Oryzias latipes: one gene and its partners. The protein of the gene in region 1 interacts with the protein of each later gene in a pairwise test. Links are inferred from orthologs where the notes say so. Each region holds a gene or a part of one and is shown on either strand. Other genes may lie near its edges.

Region 1 (3,567 bases):
TTTTTTCTGTTTCGACGGTGCCGTGTGCAGACGCTGCAGCGTCTGCATCCTCACTCCTCACAGCACAAAGCCACAGACGGACATAAAGGACGGCAGTGTACCTCTCCAGTCGCTGTTGGAGCAGAGTCAGGTGCTCTTTCAGTCGCCGGATCTCCTCCCTCTTGATCCTGGTGATCTCCCTGTTTCTATCCATGTATCTGTGCACAGCCCCAGCAGAGGATTAGGGGGGGGGGGGGGGGGGGGGGGGGGCTCTTCAAAGACACATGATCACCATCATCCGTGTTGGCATCACCTGTCCATGTAGAGCATGGAGGGGAACTCCAGCTTGTTGTGGATCTTCTCAGGTCGTCCCAAAGCCTGGTTGAACTCGAACCTCGACAGTTCAAAGGTCAACACGGGGGGGAGCTCCGTGAACCAGTGCTGAAAAACATTGAGTTGAGACCGTTTCAAACGTTGGACGTCACTCTTTGGTTTTTGAAGCATTTCAATGCAGACGGGAGCCTGGGTGACGTGCACAAGTGTTAAGGCATTTGAATGAGGCACGGAGGAGGAGGAGGAGGAGGAGGAGAAGGAGGAGGAGCAGCACACATCCAAGCTTCATCTGTAGGACCAAGACGAAGCTCAGAGAAGACAACTTCTCTGTCAATACTTCCAGGCTGTGAAACAGGTTTTGTCCTTCAGATGCTGACAACCGCTTTGCTCCGTCTGCATGTACTGTACTTTGATTAAAATCTGATTTATGAACATGTTTAATTTTTGTTTCATGGATGTTGGGTTATTTTTGCTGTCAGGTGCGTTGGACTGATTTTTTCCTCTGAAGTGGGTTTGTGCTGCTTGTGAACAAATGCCATAAAAGATGAGTTTTTACATAGTCCGTACTGAACATATTAGTATCAATTCATAGATTTTATGAATGGAAATACATATATTGTTCTTGTTTTTTCTTTTATTAGCCTATTTTTTATCATTGTATTAAAAGAAATGATAAATTAATGAAAGATTCATCTTTATTCAGTTTCTATATTCAGCTCCATAAAACTGTTTTATTCCAACCCTATAAAATAGGTTGAGTGGACGTCTGAAAGCCAAGTGAATGGTGGTTTGTCATGGTTAATGAGTGACCCCAGCCTGACATGTGATCACGCCCTGGTCACGGGGGGCACCCTCTTCCTTTTTCGGTTCCTCAGCAGAGGATCCGGCTGCCGTGCTCAGTCTGCATCACTGACCTCTTGACCCGATTTGGCAGAGTTTTCTGCAGAGTGCAGGGACTCGATCTCCCCCTCGATCATCGCCGCCTCCAGACATTCGTGGAGGTCCTTGAAGCCGTTCACCTGCAGGGGGTACTGCCCAAACATCTCTGTGTTCTCAAACTTTTTACCTGTAGTCAAAGGGAACAGCGGACAAACCAAAGGTGAGATCAGGCAAAGTCTGTGTGTGACCCAGCATCCGACCCCCCCAGCATCTTACAGCTCATTTCAGCAGCTTTTTCTGCACCTTTTCTGTTTGACTCCTGCTCATTTAGCTTGAAGCCAGTTACTTGATGGGGTGGTCACAGAGATCACAGGTTTGGACCCCCCCCTCAGTGACAGTCAGTGTTGAACATGTGTGTCAAAGGGGCTTACAGCACTTCAAAGAACGTAGACTTTTGGGTTTCCTTCAATGCATAAACAGACTTCATCCACACCAGGAAGGTGTGATCTCCATCGTTACCTTCTGCCTCATGGAAACCTAACTTACAGTTACCTTAAAGCCCCATCGGTGGTCACACACCAGGGTGGGAGAAACTCCTTCTCCACATGCTGCAGCCATTTAACCCCCCAATCCAAAATCTAAATGCTGAAGAGCACAGAGGCATTGGATCCTTTGACTATGGATTTAAACCTGAGCCCTCTCCGCCTCTTCCACTGAGCTGCTGAGCCCCGCCCTAAAGCGGTGGGGGCCAGCAGACACAGATGAGGAGTTCAGGACCACCTTCAGGAGGCTCTGAGCCAGCGTCGTCATGCATAATAAACAGAATTTTAATCAGCCGCCAAGGTCTCCTCCAGTCAGCGTAAGCTCTGGTGTTTTACAGTCATTAGGATGAGGTCACCTTCCATGACTGAGGGGGGAGACTCCCCCACTCTCTGCATCCTGGCATCAGGCTGAGCTTCAGCCTTCTTACTCCTCCATCATGCTACTCTGTAATGGCAGAAATCATGGGCTCCCGCTCACCTTCCAGAACCCCCACAGCGAGGAAGCGGCCGTAGAAAAGCTCCACCATGGGGTTCTTCGGTCTCTCCCCCTCCCTGAGAACAAGGGATGAGAAACTGTTGCAAACACCCTTCAGGTCATCTGGATCAGGTCCACTAGAAGCAGCTTACCTGTCTTCTGCCTTCATCTGGAAGGCGTCCTCCAGCCAGTCCAGCAGTTTGTGGGTGAACTCACTGACATCCTGCTGTGGAACAAACATCATCACACATCTGTCTGTCACGCTTCACTTCACACAGAAGCCTTCTATGGATCATTGAGTCCCTTCACAAAGTGGGACTGTCAGTGTGATACGGGGAGGACCGCTGGGGGAACTGGGGCTCAACAGTGAAGGAGCCACACCAGGAGAAGCAGCAGGAACGCTCCTGTATTCCAGCTGTGCAGAGGTTGGCCTGGAGGGCCGCAGTCCTGCTGTAAAAGGTTGGCCACACGTGATCAGCCGTGAACAGGGCCATATCCATAAACATGCAGGCCTGCAGGTGTCACCCCCTGGTTACGTGGAACCATTGCCCCCCCCCCCTAAAGACACTTTCAGGAAGTCTGTGATCCCGTGCAGCAAAGGACATCGGGAGAAGCTTACCTGTTGTGACTCACTGGATTTGAAGGCATCTTTGAGGATTTCCACCGCCCGTGAAGGGTCTACATATTTCCTCTTGGAGCCCACCATGAGGGAGAAGAGGTTCCTCAACTCCTGCATGAAGAGCAGGTATCTGTGCTCCTGCTCAGAGCAAAAAAAACAGAAATCAAAGTTGGAATCAGGGCAGTGAGAAAGCTTTATGGTCATTTGCTGTGACTGGCAGGCTTCTGCAGGTGTAGCGCAGTGATTCCTTTATAGCGACAGTCAGTGCAAAAACACACAAAATACAGGAAAGACACCAATTCCTGACAAGGCTTTGGGCGTCTGCTTCCAGTCATTTATCCTAAACATGAGGATGTTTGAATGTTGTCAGTCTCCAACTCTACTGTTAAATGCCGCACACCGACATTAAGACACCAGAGAGCATGGCTGTTGTTTCGCCATCATCTTCATTCTGCAGACCTGACCGGAGGTCAGCTCAGGTCAGCCCAGAAGGCTGCTGCAGATCAGTGTACAGCGGGTTTTTTCTAACAGATGAGTGACACAAATGAGGCTGTGCTTGTGACAAGAGGACTTTCACTGCTGCAGGAAGCATAAAGAGCTCAGCTGCAGAGTAAGGGCCATTAAAGCCGTCCACAGTTTAATGAGCGACACAAGGTGAGGGCGGGGCCACACTTTGACAACACCGCCACCCAGCAGGTTTGATCCTAAACAGCTAATGACAGGCCGAAGTGGAGTCAGTG
Region 2 (4,041 bases), on another chromosome or scaffold:
CAGCAGCTAAAACAAAAAAATGATCTTAAAAAACAAAAGTTTGAATCTCCAAATTGTATTCCTCCCCTTCAATTCCACCCGCCAAAATAAAAGCATAGAGGAACTTCTAAACAAGTGTGATGACATAAGACCACCTCTGCTTTTAGTGAAATTATTCCAATCTTTGATATTTTAGGGGGTGAATTAAAGAAAGTTGCTTTTGTGGAGGTTTTAGGAGCTCAGCATCAGACAGGTGTGCAGCCCCGCACACCAGCAGAGGCGGTTGACACTCAGACACGGTGTGAAAAAAAAGAGGAGAAAGTCACCAAAGGGATTCGCTTACGAATAAAGGAACAAAACGGAGGGATATAAAGGTTCCAAGCAAGCTTGCAATTCACCAGCGGTTTGTAATTCACCGACCTTTGTCACCATGACGACCACAAAGTTCTTCTCATCGATTTTGTATTCTTTGAGGGCCGTGTCGTCGCTGAGGATTTTTCCTGGAAAGAAGCAGAAAAGGATTTCTGAGGGATGGACGACATCCGTCTGGGTTTTACTCGCTCTGAAAACTAGAAAACGAGGATCTGTGCCGGTCACACAAATGATGGTCATTTACACAAAATCTGTTTTTAAAAGTTAATTTCTAAGCATTTATCTTTATTCTCAACCAAAATCTTTTGTTGACTCCTATTTTTCATGATATTCACTTCAACTGCAGCGCTCTACCCATTAAAGCAGAAAAGCATAAACACATCTGTCAATCATTGACTTAAAAAAACCCATAATAATCCGGCATAAAGCAGTAAATTGAAGCCCAGTCCCGTTCTGTTGATGATTTGGATCAAATGAGGCTGAAAAACAAGCAACTACTGAGCCACAAATGCATCAATCGAATCAAGAAAGTTCTTTTAAAAGCATAAGAAGCTACAGAAGTGGTTCGCTAACCTCCATCTGTCTTCTCACCAATGAATCATGGGAAAACTGTATTTTTTGGAAAGGATTGGTGTGGAAGCTTTACGTTTTGGTGCTTTTTTTGTGCTCATGTGAGCTCTAAAGGTGACACAATGATTTCTGTACTCAACTTGGAGTCCAAATGTGCACAGACGCGCAAGCCTGTTTCCCATTGTCGATCCCCATCAGTTAGGGGGGGAGGGGGCTGTGTGTAGGTCTGGGGAGGGGGTTCTATTTTAATTTTCGTGCTTGTTTTTATATTATTTATTTGGTTTTTCTTTAATGTAAAGCACTTGTAGGAAAAGCACTTTCTAAATAATGTTCGATTTGATTCAATGCTTCCTGGGTGAAGCTGATTTGAACATAGAATTTGCCGGACCCGGGTTAGCCTAACATAGGATCCAGTTGGATCCCTTCACCCTGATGTAAAACATAAAGTGCAGGTATCTAGCGATTTTATTTTATTCTGAAGTCAAAACTAAACTATGTTTGTAACGACAGTCAGAATTTTAACACTTTTTTGCCCACATTGACAAAAAAACTATTCTTCTAGAATACAAACAGAAGCAGCAGACATCGTCATCGCCTTAAATCAATCATTTTACATAACGTCAGCAATCAATTTGTAGTCTTTTTAAAGTTTCTTTTCAGCGTCTTTGAGGCTGTAACATGCATGTCAAAATAAAAGCACAGTTCGCTTTAAGACACATTTAAAATATTGAGGAACAGAACCTAAAATAACTATTTTATGGGTTTTGGTGAAACTTTATGTACCAAAAAGTACTTGTGTGTCAACAAAAGTGTGTTTGCAGCGTATCATCATTCTTGTGGTCACTATTAAACAACACAGCAAAGAAATACATAATTTAAGACAAATGACATCAAATTAAATGCATTTTTAAATATTTTAGGCTGAAAATTCTAGATTTCTGGACTTTATAGACCCGACAGTTTAAGATCTGAAGCAATTTTGTGTCAAATATGCAGAGAAATATACAAAAAAAACTTTTAGGCAAATCAAAGAGTACAGATCTTTCCGGATCTTAACCTGCCAGGACTATGGATGCAAACTGATCAGAACCGGTCTAAACATCACGTGAGTACTCAGAGGAAGAAAGAGGCAGGGAGGGACCCATCATACCGGCGTAGATCAGCTTCTGCCCGGCCACTGAAAAGCTCTCCTTCCCCTTTTCCTGCTCAATCCTCTCCTTTAACGTCTTCACCTGCAGAAGAAACAACAACACTGACAACAATGACTAGCAGTAAACAACAATACACACAGTGAGATGACTCAGCACTTCTGGAGCCATAAGGTCCAAGTTTCTGTTGTTAAGAAGGAAACCTCCTCTAAAATCTAGCTACAGACATCAACCATTGAATCTTAGCTGTTAGCAACAGATTTAGAGGAATAACGCGCATGTCCTTAAAGTTTATCGAAAGTAAAAGTTCGGAGTAAAAGATCTCTGTCATAAATGTTTAGGAACAGTGCGAAGGCTGGCGTGTAAATAGAAACAACTTTACTATCGTCATTACATTTAAGCACAGACAACAACATTTTGCCTGAGTTTTTGTATGTTATTTTAAATCAAAAGAGTATTATTTTGCTAGCGTAATGACTCTAGTCAATATGTTTTTAACAAAAACAAACAAAAAAACATTTACTGCTGTTTTAGTTGCTCCACATAAACAACTCCCGCTCGCGCATATTTCTCACCGTTTCTTCCTCATCGATGTCGATTTTGAAGGTCTGCTGTTGCAAAGTCTTTAAAGTTATCAGCATGTTGTAGGTCGGTTTACTTCTGGCTCCAATTTTAAAAAAATCTGTAAATCTAACTTGAAAGAAATCGCTTTTTTCCGTTGGCTCATTACAAACTGTCAGCCGCCATGATTTTTCGGTTCTCTTCTTCTGTGGCGGTAAAACCGGGTAACCCCCCCCCCTCATGAAAAAACACACTAGCGCCCCTGGTGGCTACACGTTGAACTTAATCAAATAATCTGCTGGACAATAAATCCAAATCAGTTGGTCCCACCACGGTTAAATTGATTTGATTGTGGAGGATATTCTATATATATTTTTCTTCATTATATTCTATATGTTTTTTTCAATATATATACACATTTTCACATAAAAATTAATCAAAACAGAATGTTATTTTTTCCTAACACTCTGAATAAGTAAGTAATACTGAAAAGTAATACCACAGATTTCATGTCATTTAAACATTAAACACACAGCTGTTTAAACAAAATTAAATTAAATAGGATTTAAAAAGTAAAATAGCATAACAATAACAATAAAAAAAATATATACAGCACAAATATTGGAGCAAATAATTAGCACTTTGACACTAAATTATTTTTTAAATTCACGTATTAAATGGTGTAGGCTGCACAATTGTATAGTGGTTAGCACTCTTGCCCCACTGGGAGAGGTTCAAATCCCTGCTGGAACCTTGCTGTGTGGATTTTGTATGTTCTCCCTGTGCATACACAGGTTTCCTCTTGGAAACCTACCGTGCCTCAATCCAAATGGTATTTGCAAATATCGAAATAATCAATTTAGTTATTTTTAAAATGATTCTATAATTTGAATAACAACTTGGCTCAAACCGATTGATCTGGTAGGTCGTGGGAATAAAAATTGATTCATGGCTTAAGCCGATTAATCTATACGCCCCTAAACGCAACCCACAGTGTTGTAAACAAATGTTTAGGAAACATTTGGTGGATCATAAAGTTATGGTGCTTATCATCACACTGTGAGATTTAACCCTTGTGCTATCTTAGATGACCCCACCCTTACATTGACGTGTTCTCCCTACCATGACAAAGGTGGATAAAGGTGGAAAGATTTCATGTAATCCATGGACACCAGTGAAGATCACAAATCACTGAAGAAAAAAGGTTCAGAGCACTGTCTAGTGGGTCTAGATGACCCAACTCCCAATAGTAAAGTGCCTAGGATAGCACAAGGGTTACAGGTGTTGTCTACGTTATTCGTGAGCCTCCATGGGAGGCTAAGACACAGGAGTGTGATGGAGGCCTGGATCCCCCCACCCACCCACTACCACCACCCACAGGATCTGCAGCTCTTGTCGAGGAGCGTGACGC
Region 3 (3,567 bases), on another chromosome or scaffold:
ATAAACTTTAAAAACAAAGATTCCTTATTTATCTTGGGAATTACATTCTAAAAATAACCCTTGATAGGAAATCTGCAAAGTAATGAAGCTTTATATGTACAATAATTCTGGTATTTAAGGCTGTAAAGCTTCTCACTACACACCTGTCTACGTTTCTCAGACAAACATGAACATTTTCACACTTTTGTCTCTTGTTTAAAGTCTCAAAGTTCAAACCTTCACAGAATCTAAGGCCAGTATTGTAGAATGAAAATAGATCTGTTTATAGTAGAAAACACTGATGGTCATGTTTCTGAAATCAGGTGGTTGATTTTTTTCGGCTTTTCTGCTTTCTTCTTTTTTTAAAATTTATTTAAAATGTGTTTTTGTGGAGGGGTTGCACAGTGGTGTAGTGGCCAGCGCTCCTCCCTCGTAGCGAGAAGGTTCTGGTTCCAATCCCAGCCGGGTTTTGTCTGCGTGGAGTTTGCATGTTCTGTCTGCATGTGTGGAACTCCAAAAAACATTCCAAAAACACGCTTCATGGTTAATTGGTGAATCTCAATTGTCTCTAGGCGTGAATGTGAACTGGCGACCTGTTCAGGGTGTAGCCCACCTTCACCCAATAGTAGTTGGGATAGGCTCCAGCAACCATGTGACTCTAAAACTGATTCTGCCGGTTTAGGGGATGGATTGATGTTGTTTTTTGTCGATTTTGTTGAATAATTTAGGCGTTTGTGCTGTTTAAATGTTGGATTGATAAAGCTCTTCGAGGGTCTGAAGTCTTTCACATTAAGGCGGATTTGTTTTACTGTATATAAAGCTAAAATAACGTGATAGGATTTCAAATCAATCAGGATTTTCCTTGTCTTTTGTAGCTCCAGCGGCGGGAATCAGGGCCTGGACGCCTCTTCAGCGTTGGGTATGTGACGCTGAACCCTCACCTGATGACTCTATGCTCCGCCTGCAGTTGCTGCTCTCATCAACACAACACAAACCCTTCCTGTAATTAGAGGGCGACAAAAGCGAGCTGGCTCTTGTTGCGGGGTCACACAGAGGGATGGGGAGTCCCATGTGATGCAGTTATGAGCACATCTGCTGCACGCAGAGGCGACAGGAAGTCACGTCATTTGTCAGTCAAGTGCCAGAGAGCCTCTGTCTTCTGCGTTCAGCCTTTTGGTCTTGAAGTCAAGTTGAGACCGTTCCCATTTAAAACAGGGGAGCCTGACACAATAATCATGAAATGTTTGGACTATTCAAATCCCGAAACTCTTTATTTGACCCGTAAAACTTGACTGATTGTAGCTCAGGCTTGACCCCCTTTGCACAGAGGTTTGATTCCCGGTTTGTGTTTCAGTGACTGGAGCGGAGTACGAGGCCATGCTGACGGAGATCATGTCTATGGGATACGAGAGGGAGCGAGTGGTGGCGGCGCTGCGGGCCAGCTTCAACAACCCGCACAGAGCCGTGGAGTACCTCCTCACTGTACGTATGCTGAGGCCCCGCCCACCTGCCGGATGGGACGCTGCCTCTGAGCTCCCAGCCAGGGTGTGATGCTCTCACTACCGTAACCCTTCGACTGCGTACGCAATTCTTCTTTTCATTAACCTGTTTTTTAGTAGGGAATCAACACGAATCGGCTGATTCTGACACGGACAAAAGCGGCTTTTCATGTTGGCTTTGCACCGATAGACCACACATTTCTAACTTTAAAAGTGTTGCATGACGGCGCAAAGCTGTTTCCGCCACGGCAGAATCGGCTGTTGGTTGTGTAAACACTTGAGTCCTGTAAAGTGTTGCCCATCAGTGTGAAGCTCATTTTCTCCACTTCAGAATCCGTTGCGTGAACAGTCGTAGGGTTACGGTAGTGGAAAGAATGTAAACACTGGCGCTAAAGCTCTGGTGTCGCTGGACATTCACACAACAGACATCCGACCAACAGGAGGTGAGGTTGTGTGAGACGTTCACACCAAACGCGTATCTGACGCGTCAGATCTGCTGCTTAATGTTTATCCAAAGAACGCGTTCATAAATGGACGTCTGAGACGAGCTGCCGGTTCAGATTTTGGAAGCATTGACTCCATATCCCGTTTACAGTGCATGGAAGACACGGATGATGTTTAGAGATCAGGTTTACGTGTTTTAAAAGACTTCTACAGAAACATTGGTGATCCCGCCTCCACGTCTGGGTTCATGACATCATTCAGAGACTCTCCCGGTACGCTGAGCTTCACCGTCTGCTGCAGGAGCTGCGTCTGATTGACAGCTGCTCCCGACTCTCCCTGACCCAGTTTGACGACTCGCTGTCCCGCATGAGTCCTGGGAGGGAAAAAATACAAATGAGAATCAAATTAGAGGAACTTTCCATTATTGTATCGACGGAAAAAGCAAAACAAAATAATGGTCCTAATCTTTTCAGTGATTCCCGATTGCATCACTGAACCCGCCACGCCTGATTGGTTGACATGCGGTTGAAGTTTAATTCGACTCGCTGCGATGCCCAAAACATGCTGCTGCAGAACCAACGTTCAGACCCCAGATGGCGTCTGGACATTGATGCGTGAATCGCATTTGGTGTGAACGCGGCTTTAGCGACACGCACCCGTACAGGTGCTGCGGGGTTTTAGGTCGTCTGGGACGTGGAAAGTCGTAGCGAGGAGCCTACCGCCACTCTTGAACTGTTTATGCAGAAAAGCCAAAGCTTTGCAACGTTTTCTCTGTCAGAATTACTAAAAAGTAACGTAAACAATCCAAGAGCGTGTGTTTTTTGTTGTTTTTTGTCGCTAGTGACAACGTAGGTGTTAAAGGTTAAGGAAACGCAGGTGTCTTGGAAATGTCATGAAATGGAAGGTACCATTGGCGTGCGTGTGGTAAGTTTGTCGTTGGGATGATGTAAGTTGCACGTGATGCTGTTGTATGGCCCCCTAGTCATCAGTAAGGCGTCACTGACGACATGCTATGTTTGATACGCAGGTGCCTGTAGGATGTCCTCTGTCTAATTTCTAAGTCAGGCTGCATGTGAGGAGCGCGCACGTGTCACGTGAACAGCACCACCGGCTCCTTTCTGCTGGAATGAGGAGGGTTGAAGACATGAAAGTCCTGACGACACGCCTGTGTCTCACCTGCTTCATCCTCACGTGTTGTAGAAGCGTTCACTGCGACCTGTCGTCCGTAGAAAAAACTGCGCACGAGCATTTTCGCCTTACAGTCTACGGTGTTAAAATGGTCCCCCAGGTGTGCCCACGTTCCCCCCACAGACAGCCGTGTCCACCTGCGAGTGCGGTGGAGACCACAGCTAAAGCCTCTGGGTGTAAATCTGGAAATGAAGGCGTGTAACCGCATCCGCTGTGTGGCACCAGCCGTCTGATTAGGTCGAACTTGTGACTCTAGATGCCTCAGAATGAAACATCGCTGTCCAGCTCAGGAAGTGGTCGCTCACAGGCGCTCTTGTGTTTCCAGGGTATTCCCAGCAGCCCCGTGCAAGAAAGCAACCCCCCAGTGCAGCCCCCCACCTCTGGATCCACAGACGCCCCCTCTCTAGCAGAAGGTATGAGACCACAATGCATTGCCTTTGAATGATTTGTCATTTGA
Region 4 (3,567 bases), on another chromosome or scaffold:
ACGTATGAATGTAATCATTTTTATCCTCAAAATTACTGTATTTACCACATTTCCTGTTCATTTTACAGCTCACGCAGGCTTGTGCAATCCCATGCAGACTGGGTTGCCTTTGGCTTATTCAGCATATGCTAATAAATTTAACACTTTATTAAATAGTTTCTATGCATCTTTTTACGTGTCATCGCTTTCCATTTAACAGTTATTCTTTCATGTTTGTCTGTTGTTTCTTTAATGGATCCGACATAAAGCTGCACTGAAAAAACACAGAAGGTGAGGTAAGCAGTAACTTGGCCTCAATTATATTATAGAGGGTGTTTGTGGGCTCACGCTGGTCTGGAGTCAGTATTCTGCTTCGCTCTGGCTGACAAAAATGCTGGATAAAATGTCATTAAGAAATGTCTCAAAGTTGGACTTTCAATCAAAAAAATAAAAAATCAACGTTGAACTGACACATCTGTATTCAGACTGAGAGACTTCTGAAATTTCTGATAGAGGGTAAGGAGGACTTTTATGCAAAAGTCACAGGCTGTTACCCAGACGGAGAGACATATGGACTTCATTGTGTTGCACACAGCCTGAAAACATATAAACACAGAAAAACGGCTTAAATTAAAACCAGTTTTAGTGGTTTTCAACCTAGAGGTCTCTTCTGAAGACAGAAAACTGTGAAATCTGCTAGAAGCTATTGGCTGCAGAGATAACCCCCCAGCCATGCCAGCGATGTTCACACCTGCTCAGGTAGGATGCTGCGTTGTGGTAACGTCATCATTTAAAGGACCGGAACCAGAAATTCACACCTCACAGAGACCGCCTCTGAGTCTTCCTCATCCGTTCAGAACAAAGGATGAGAGAAACAAACAAACGTCCAAACTGAACTTATCGCTCTTCAAAATCAAACTGCCCCCCCCCCACCATCATTGGGTTGCAAGGACGGCAGATGAAGATGCAGTTCAGGATCTGGAATCTGGAATCTGAGCGCGCTCAGTCGCTCTTTCTGACTGGCTGTTTTTTTAAACCTTTGCGTCAGAATACAGTAGAAATGTTCTATTTCTGTTATCTCCGGGTTCCTGTTCTTTTACTTTCGGTCTGGGCTATTGGGCAATTAAAAACCTCCAACAAAAGCTGTGTTTTGAGATGTGGGCTGGGTCAGCGGATCTCAGCAAAGTTCAGCTTCTTTCTCGTGAAGGAACTGATTCCCAGAACAGACAGATTCAGGAAGGCTTCTGACAGAGCGGTTCTGAGTTCATGTTTTGACATAAACGTCTTCAAAGAGGGGACCTCTGCTGCAGCCAACCGCCGATCAGGAGACTTTAAAGTTCACATACGTTCACTGTAGTCTCTGCCTTTCACATTTGATGATTCATCGATGGTTGGGGTTGGATCGTGCCCTCACAGGTTGGTGAAACGCTCGAGCAGTGAGGAGTCAAATGAGCCAAACGTGTTTGCAGGACTCCATACTGGTCTGTCTTCAGCAGATTAGTCTAGGTGTGATGAAGCGTGGAATCAGAGTGGAAGGTGGACAATACGCTTTGGCCAGCCATGGAGACATCTGTGACTACTCCAGTCTCCTTCCAGGAGTTTACATGTCAGAGACCACAAAGGCGTGCAAAATAGTGATCCGTTATAACCTGACAGTGTGTCCCAGAGGACAGAGGGAGGAGCCACCAGTGCAGCCTGAGACTCAGACAAATGGGGATCAGATCAGGAACAACAGAAACAGTATGGGAGCCAAGCGGGCTTAGAGATCCACCAGCCCGCCTGAACACCTGGATCCTCAGGCCATCATAGTTTATTGATTACTTGTTTACAATCTCTCACCACCTTTCTGAAAAGATGCTTCAGAAACAGAAAAACAACAGATTTCTGAACAAAGGATCCCTGCCAGGCAAACTCACCCTTAGGTTCCAGGTCTGCTTCACGTACTCTCGGATCAGCTTCTCCTTCAGGTCCTCAAAGGGTCCAACTTTGGGCTGCATGTTCTTGGGTCGGTTGCAGGGCTTCTTCAGGAGACACACCAGGCCGTCTGTCTCCTGGGAGTGGTGGTCAATCACGTCCACGGGGCTCCTGTAGCTCTTGCCTCCAGCGATGGCGTACGTCTCGTTGGGCTTTTTCTCGATGGTGTAGTGGTAGCAGTGCTTAGCATTGGCGACAGAAAGGGCAAAGCCTCCCAGGTAATTCCGGCTTTGCCGTAACAGGTACAGCCCGTTGCTCATGCCTGCCTGCCGAAGGTAGTCCTCCGCCTCCTCCCTGGCGATGTTGCCGTAGAAGAACGGCAGTGCGTTGACAGCGTCAGCCATCTTGGCCGTTGGACACTTGTCTCCTCACAAAACTAGGCCACCAGGATGAAGTGTCCCTGAGAAAACAAGAAGGTCACCTTGAGTTACAACTGCAAAATCTGAAAGGAGAAGCTAAAAAACAGATAAAAGTTGTTCTTTACTCCAGAAACAGGGACACTCAAGCAGGTGATGCTGGTATCGCCTGCTTTTAGAAGCAAAACAATTGTCTTTACTTTTGTCAGGTTGATGTCAGTAAGCTGCTGTAGTTTTTATAAACAGCAGTTTATATGAATCGTTCCAACAAAGACACTTGAAGAAAGTGTGTTTAGTTCTTTTTGTTAATTCTGTCCCGCAGCAGACCTGGACCACAAAGACCAGATTGCTTTTATTAATTCTTCTTTCTTACTGCAGCTTTCATACTTACTCAAAAACTCATCAACATTTTCATAAATCTAGAAAACATAGACAATGAATTTTAGGCATTGTAACCCCCCCCAATGAATAAATCACAGCAGAAGGAAACAACAAAAGATGAATTAGCCAAAATCTTTTATAGGTCTCCAAAAAATATTTCTAAATCCTATATTGAAAACCAAAACAAAGGGAGTTTTGTAATTATCATGAGATGGCCGTGGGACCTACGGCCGTTGACTGTATATGAGAACTGGACTAAGTGACCCCTCCACCCCGTGTTCCAAACAGGAAGTACCCGCTGGTTCCAAAAAAGCTGAAATCTAATAGACTTCAATAGAAAAAGAAACAGCTGTAATCAGTCATTCTATTGGTCAGAATAACCATTCTCACTCTGACACATCTTTTTAACATATTCTGGATAATCCTAATTTTTTTAATGATATTTTTGCTGCAGTAAAAGTCATTCAAGTAACAAACTGACCAATCAGATGCCTCATTAAAAGAAGGTGGCCTCACATTGAATGTTCAAAGCGTTTGATTTCCGGATCCTCCTGATCCTGCTTTCAGTGGAAAGGGTGAGGCCTTCTAACATGCTCACTACTGACTGGAGAGAGTGGTTGCCATGGAAATATAGACTAAGATCGACATGGAGCACTTGGAAATGGAGCTTACTGACGACGTCTGGTTCATGTCACAGACAACATGGCGGCAGACATATCGTGAAAAAATGGCGACTGAATTGACTCGAATTGAATTGATTTGGTTGGAACCGGGGGTTAGGCATTTTTCAATGGGTGAAGTCTCACTCGCTCAGTCCAGTCCTCCATATACAGTCAATGGTTCTAAGGCTTGGTGACCATTGTGGTGATATTTCAGA

What was found.
Region 2: the proteins of usp25 (region 1) and rad23b interact in binary tests that used the Homo sapiens proteins (3 or more experiments, as listed by UniProt). The link is inferred for Oryzias latipes from reciprocal best matches to the Homo sapiens genes USP25 and RAD23B.
Region 3: the proteins of usp25 (region 1) and rad23a interact in binary tests that used the Homo sapiens proteins (3 or more experiments, as listed by UniProt). The link is inferred for Oryzias latipes from reciprocal best matches to the Homo sapiens genes USP25 and RAD23A.
Region 4: the proteins of usp25 (region 1) and syk interact in binary tests that used the Homo sapiens proteins (3 or more experiments, as listed by UniProt). The link is inferred for Oryzias latipes from reciprocal best matches to the Homo sapiens genes USP25 and SYK.

Annotation. Positions count from the first base shown.
Region 1 is NC_019872.2:2,562,717-2,566,283, forward strand, and holds part of usp25 (ubiquitin carboxyl-terminal hydrolase 25), read right to left. Parts: intron 2,966-3,567; coding exon 2,828-2,965; intron 2,435-2,827; coding exon 2,361-2,434; intron 2,286-2,360; coding exon 2,212-2,285; intron 1,379-2,211; coding exon 1,227-1,378; intron 421-1,226; coding exon 293-420; intron 198-292; coding exon 102-197; intron 1-101. UniProt on the Homo sapiens protein: Deubiquitinating enzyme that hydrolyzes ubiquitin moieties conjugated to substrates and thus, functions in various biological processes including inflammation and immune response.
Region 2 is NC_019870.2:9,289,474-9,293,514, reverse strand, and holds the start of rad23b (UV excision repair protein RAD23 homolog B), read right to left. Parts: upstream 2,856-4,041; 5' UTR 2,711-2,855; coding exon 2,645-2,710; intron 2,154-2,644; coding exon 2,072-2,153; intron 480-2,071; coding exon 400-479; intron 1-399. UniProt on the Homo sapiens protein: Multiubiquitin chain receptor involved in modulation of proteasomal degradation. Binds to polyubiquitin chains.
Region 3 is NC_019866.2:22,938,801-22,942,367, reverse strand, and holds part of rad23a (UV excision repair protein RAD23 homolog A), read left to right. Parts: intron 1-854; coding exon 855-898; intron 899-1,333; coding exon 1,334-1,461; intron 1,462-3,435; coding exon 3,436-3,523; intron 3,524-3,567. UniProt on the Homo sapiens protein: Multiubiquitin chain receptor involved in modulation of proteasomal degradation. Binds to 'Lys-48'-linked polyubiquitin chains in a length-dependent manner and with a lower affinity to 'Lys-63'-linked polyubiquitin chains.
Region 4 is NC_019870.2:27,546,013-27,549,579, forward strand, and holds part of syk (tyrosine-protein kinase SYK), read right to left. Parts: intron 2,354-3,567; 5' UTR 2,298-2,353; coding exon 1,896-2,297; intron 1-1,895. UniProt on the Homo sapiens protein: Non-receptor tyrosine kinase which mediates signal transduction downstream of a variety of transmembrane receptors including classical immunoreceptors like the B-cell receptor (BCR).